Linked DNA regions of Saccharomyces cerevisiae S288C. Changing the gene in region 1 together with any one later gene gives a genetic interaction. Each region holds a gene or a part of one and is shown on either strand. Other genes may lie near its edges. The genes, in order: BIL2 and AAD4.

Region 1 (2,734 bases):
AATTTTTAAAATTAATACCTTCAAGAGAAAAGTTCACAATTGTTGCGGTGGCAAAATTTTGGACTAAGTTGATCAATAATAAGAAATACAACCAAGAAGAACTCACAACTGTTAGGCAACAAGTTTCCTCTATAGGAGGAGACCTTGTGTACCAAATTATGTATGGCTTATTCCACACACAAAGGTCCGATCTGAATAGTTACACAGATCTGCTAAGAGCTTTGGTAGCCAAGTTTCCAATTGAAGCAAGAGAGTGGCTCGTTGCTGTTTTGCCCCAAATATGTAACAATCCTGCAGGTCATGAAAAATTTATTAATAAATTACTTATTACGAGAGGAAGCAGAGCAGCTGGAAATGTTATTTTGCAGTGGTGGTTGGATTGTACCACACTTCCAAATTACCAAGGATGATTTGTTAAGAATTTCTCCGCTGAGGGTGAAGGCTATTCTTTGTTACATTTTATTTAGTAATGCGTTGATCCTTTTTGATAGATTTTTTTTTTGTGCTTTAAAGATAGTAGCAGTATATATGTGTGTAAAAGCTAATCATCAGAAGTGCAGCATTCATTGCTAGTATTTAGTGATAAAAATTTTAGAATTTCCATTTCTAATTGTAATTGCTTTTCATTCCAATACATGTTTGAGCTTCTGGGGGGTAAAAATACATTTCCAGACAGGGCGTCAGGTTGAAAGCAGTTACTGAAACATAGAGAGTCGACGTCAGGAGGAGGCTTCAAATGGTTTTCTGAAAGTGATTCGGTCTTATTTTTCCATTTTCTAAAATGGTGAATCCTTTCTCTGGAAATGTGTGATCCCTTTGCCTTTTGTGAAAACTTTTTTAACGAGCTTTTTAGGTTATTAGTTGTCTCAAGAAGGTTTATGGGCCCGCTGGTCTCGATATCTGCGTAATTTAATGGACGTATCGTGTCTTCCATGGAGTGAATTGTGATTTGTGAATTATATCTGTCCAATACCGTTGCCTTGTTGGGAGCTCAGATAGAAAAGACATCTTAATTCCAGACAGTCTATTCTCTGTCTATTTCTCTTTGTGACTGCAAATTTTAATTTGTGACGCCTTTTCTTATTACTCATGTATTTGTCACTCTTGACGATTGTTTTTTTTCTATATTTTTTTTGTTCTGGGGTCCTCCAGAGAATAAAAAATAATGATCAATATAGTAGATAGTATAGTTATATTCTTATTCGTTGCACCTTGTTTAACAAATCACTCAGACTCAAAGAGAATATCGGTTGGTTATCTCTCTCCGAAGGTGAACAGCAAACAGTACCTCACGTCTTTTTTTTGAATAGTTTTTTTTTTTGTTGAAACAGAAAAAAAACTTTCTTCCGTATATTACATTGTACATTATTTTTATTGTATTTTAGTTTCCAACGTTAGGATTTGAGCCGTCATTAATATTATTCGTTTTTGTACACTATTCCAGACGATTTATTTTTAGTACACTTAAAATTCCTGTTGATATTGTCCACTAGTTCTCTTTTCATATTTTATTTTCGCTTATTCTTTAGGTTCTTTTAAGAGTCTCTGTTCATTTTCCGTTCTTACTGTTTCTTTGTCCTCGATATCTTTTAAGAAAGAGAGAACTAAGCGCTGTAACATTTTTAAGTGGACCTACGTTATGTCTACAAAAGGTTTGAAAGAAGAAATCGATGATGTACCATCAGTAGACCCTGTCGTTTCAGAAACAGTCAATTCTGCTTTAGAGCAGTTGCAACTAGATGATCCAGAGGAAAACGCCACCTCTAATGCATTTGCGAATAAAGTTTCTCAAGATTCTCAATTCGCTAATGGCCCTCCGTCGCAAATGTTTCCACATCCACAAATGATGGGTGGAATGGGCTTCATGCCCTACTCTCAAATGATGCAGGTTCCTCATAATCCTTGTCCATTTTTTCCGCCCCCTGATTTTAATGATCCAACAGCACCATTGAGTAGCTCGCCCTTGAATGCAGGCGGTCCACCAATGTTATTCAAGAATGACTCACTTCCATTTCAAATGCTGTCTTCGGGTGCTGCGGTAGCAACTCAAGGTGGACAAAATCTAAACCCATTGATAAATGACAATTCAATGAAGGTATTGCCAATCGCATCGGCTGATCCGTTATGGACTCATTCAAACGTACCAGGATCAGCATCTGTAGCCATTGAAGAAACCACCGCTACTCTACAAGAAAGCCTACCATCTAAGGGCAGGGAGTCTAATAATAAGGCTAGTTCGTTCAGAAGACAAACTTTTCATGCTTTATCACCAACTGACCTTATCAATGCGGCCAACAATGTAACCTTGTCAAAGGACTTCCAATCTGACATGCAGAATTTTTCTAAGGCTAAGAAACCGTCTGTAGGAGCTAACAATACTGCAAAAACCAGAACTCAATCCATATCTTTTGATAATACTCCCTCCTCAACGTCATTTATACCCCCAACCAATAGTGTTTCTGAGAAATTATCCGATTTCAAAATAGAAACCTCGAAGGAGGATTTGATTAATAAAACTGCACCAGCTAAAAAAGAGAGTCCTACAACTTATGGTGCAGCATATCCATATGGGGGACCTTTACTTCAACCAAATCCTATTATGCCAGGCCACCCACATAATATATCCTCCCCTATCTATGGTATTAGATCACCTTTTCCTAATTCTTATGAAATGGGCGCGCAATTTCAACCTTTCTCTCCGATTTTAAATCCTACGAGTCATTCACTAAATGCA
Region 2 (3,378 bases), on another chromosome or scaffold:
CATACGCCTGTTTGCAAATAGTCAACATATTCAACTCGGAAGGTAAAAGATGAAAAGGCAATTTTTTTGATTTTCTAAGAAAATGCGCAGCGGGCAGAAGGGTCTTCGCAGGCAACTGAGTAAAGAATATGAGAAAAGCCTCTAAATGTTGAACCCTGAAAAAGTTTCATCTATTTTTGATAAAGACTTTTCAATAGTGCAGGATCACGCAAGAAAAAAAAAGGTCCTTAAGAGCAATTGTGGGAAAATATAATACAATGCTTGCGTTAAAACTTCTAGTTACCTTTTACAACCGAAAGTAAACACTAGCATGGGCTTGGAGACGAGCAGCGCAAATTATATAGTTTGAGATAGAACGCTTTCTCCGGTATTGCCTGGGGAAAAGGAGTCACATGATTAGAATCGGCGAAATTTTTTTTCCAAAATTAACAGCAGGGTTGTCTGGATGTTTTATTGAAAATAGAAGCCAATGACAAACACAAGAGGCCAGTAGTATATTAATTTTAATGTGCATTCTAAAGCATCCTCACGTCTTTCAATCTGAAGTTACTGTTCGAGAAGGAGAAGAAAAGAAGGAAAAATGAAGGATATGAATAATAACATGAGTACTAGTTACGTCCAATCTGGTCACACCATATATTGATGCATCTTATGCGCCATAACTTCTTTTTTTGTAGCTATAATTTGTTGCCAGAAAAATGAAAACTTTTCAAAATCAACCAGTTTCCAATTTTTCTGCAACTCGTTATTTATGAAGATAGATGATGATTGACCCCCTTTCTCCAAAAATCGATGCAGCATTGGGTTATTTTTTGAGCTTTCTAATTATAGGGCCATTTTCTAGCAAGACTGTATAGCACATGCTCGCAAAGAACATGGCGTAATGTTCATAAGAAACAAATTTTGTAAGTTTCTTGTGCCTTTTGAGTTTGAAATCATTGACCAGAACAATGAGAACTCTAAACACGACAAATGGATCTTAAATCAATTTTCTTGAAAACATCTTCCAGTTTCGATATTCGCACATTTGCCGGTAAAATAGTGCAATCTGCCTATACCTTTAAAATGGGATCTTGAACGCGTACCTGAAGGTTTTTTTAAATAAGGCCGAACCTAAATGTTGCCTTCAAAATTAACCTGTATCAAATTTTGAAGCCGAAGTTGGTATCCTCACATTGTCTAACCTCATGGTCTCCTAAAGTCCGGCGATCACTTTCCGTTGCGTGACTATTGATGATCAGACTGTCAACAATGTCGTTCCGGGCCTCCATAGCTTGAAGAATTTTCGTTGACGGAACTAGAGGAATGGCAGATGGAGATGACCTTAGTTTCATGTCGCCTTGATAGTTATCAAAGAGTACAGAAACAAGACGTCTCTTGCTCAATAATAAGGATTGGATCAGGTGCTTACAAATTTTATTCGTCATACAAACAATTACTAATATTTTTTTAATATTAAGCGTACCCCTATTTGATTGGCTCTCTTCTAAATTCATACGTTTTAAAATCCGCTTTCAACCGTCAACATAAAATTAGTAAGCAGACCTCGTTCCAAGACCCAACTAAGTTGCACTAAATATCCTCGAACAAATTGGGGGCAGATTTTTGAACCATATAAAAGTCATGACAATATTTCCAGATCAAGGACAGTTGCAGTTCTTCCTTTCATCGGCCAGCTGACGAATTGACTGAGCGGCTTTGTATTTCACTAGAATACACTTCCTATAGCTACAAAATATTATTCAATAATATTAGTGAATTATTTAAACCTCTACCTGAACCACCTACCGAGTTGGGACGTCTCAGGGTTCTTTCTAAAACTGCCGGCATAAGAGTTTCACCGCTAATTCTGGGAGGAGCTTCAATCGGCGATGCATGGTCAGGCTTTATGGGCTCTATGAATAAGGAACAGGCTTTTGAACTTCTTGATGCTTTTTATGAAGCAGGAGGTAATTGCATTGATACTGCAAACAGTTACCAAAATGAAGAGTCAGAGATTTGGATAGGTGAATGGATGAAATCAAGAAAGTTGCGTGACCAAATTGTAATTGCCACCAAGTTTACCGGAGATTATAAGAAGTATGAAGTAGGTGGCGGTAAAAGTGCCAACTATTGTGGTAATCACAAGCATAGTTTACATGTGAGTGTGAGGGATTCTCTCCGCAAATTGCAAACTGATTGGATTGATATACTTTACGTTCACTGGTGGGATTATATGAGTTCAATCGAAGAAGTTATGGATAGTTTGCATATTTTAGTTCAGCAGGGCAAAGTCCTCTATTTGGGTGTGTCTGATACACCTGCTTGGGTTGTTTCTGCGGCAAACTACTACGCCACATCTCATGGGAAAACTCCTTTTAGTATCTATCAAGGTAAATGGAATGTGTTGAACAGGGACTTTGAGCGCGATATCATTCCAATGGCCAGACATTTTGGTATGGCTCTAGCCCCATGGGATGTTATGGGAGGTGGAAGATTTCAGAGTAAAAAAGCAATGGAGGAACGGAAGAAGAATGGAGAGGGTCTGCGTACTGTTTCGGGTACTTCTAAACAGACGGATAAAGAGGTTAAGATCAGTGAAGCATTGGCCAAGGTTGCTGAGGAACATGGCACTGAGTCTGTTACTGCTATTGCTATTGCCTATGTTCGCTCTAAGGCGAAAAATGTTTTCCCATTGGTTGGTGGAAGGAAAATTGAACACCTCAAACAGAACATTGAGGCTTTAAGTATCAAACTGACACCAGAACAGATAGAATACTTAGAAAGTATTATTCCTTTTGATGTTGGTTTTCCTACTAATTTTATCGGTGATGATCCGGCTGTTACCAAGAAGGCTTCACTTCTCACGGCAATGTCTGCGCAGATTTCCTTCGATTAATCAGATTTCTTTTTTGGTGCGTTTGTGTAAGAAATATGTCCTTATATATTCCACGCTATCTACTTTTATACTTTTGAATAAGCCGCACCTAAAAACAGTCTTTATCCCTCACCTAATTCAGGCGTAAATTGTGCAGGTTACAGCATTTGAAGTGGTAAATCGAGGCAACACAAGACTTTCGATACTTGGAGGCAAGTACGATAATTACAAGGGAAAAGAAGCTGTAATAAAAGGCTCATAAATAATATCTTAATAGTAAATATCTAAATATCAGGGAGGAAAAAAAACCTAATGGGAAATCATAAACAAGTCGTAGAGGAAGGCTACGCTCGAGGAGTGACGAAGTGCGTTTAAGCTGGAAGAGCCAATCTCTTGAAAGTACCTTCCTGTCTGCATTTTTCTTGATGAATAGCCATCAATCTTTGGGCTTCCAAAGGATCAGAAACCTCTTCTGGTTCTGGCCAGGACAGGTATTCATTAGTGTAGTTCGAGACATAGTC

What was found.
Region 2: mutations in BIL2 (region 1) and AAD4 together harm fitness more than expected from each alone (negative genetic interaction), as found in Saccharomyces cerevisiae (one large-scale study listed by BioGRID).

The regions. Positions count from the first base shown.
Region 1 is NC_001139.9:464,502-467,235, forward strand, and holds BIL2 (Bil2p), read right to left. Parts: upstream 935-2,734; coding exon 542-934; downstream 1-541. Other genes in the region: KAP122 (Kap122p), read left to right, coding at 1-410; PUF4 (Puf4p), read left to right, coding at 1,640-2,734.
Region 2 is NC_001136.10:17,077-20,454, reverse strand, and holds AAD4 (putative aryl-alcohol dehydrogenase), read left to right. Parts: upstream 1-1,888; coding exon 1,889-2,878; downstream 2,879-3,378. Other genes in the region: YDL242W (uncharacterized protein), read right to left, coding at 1,143-1,496; THI13 (4-amino-5-hydroxymethyl-2-methylpyrimidine phosphate synthase), read right to left, coding at 3,229-3,378.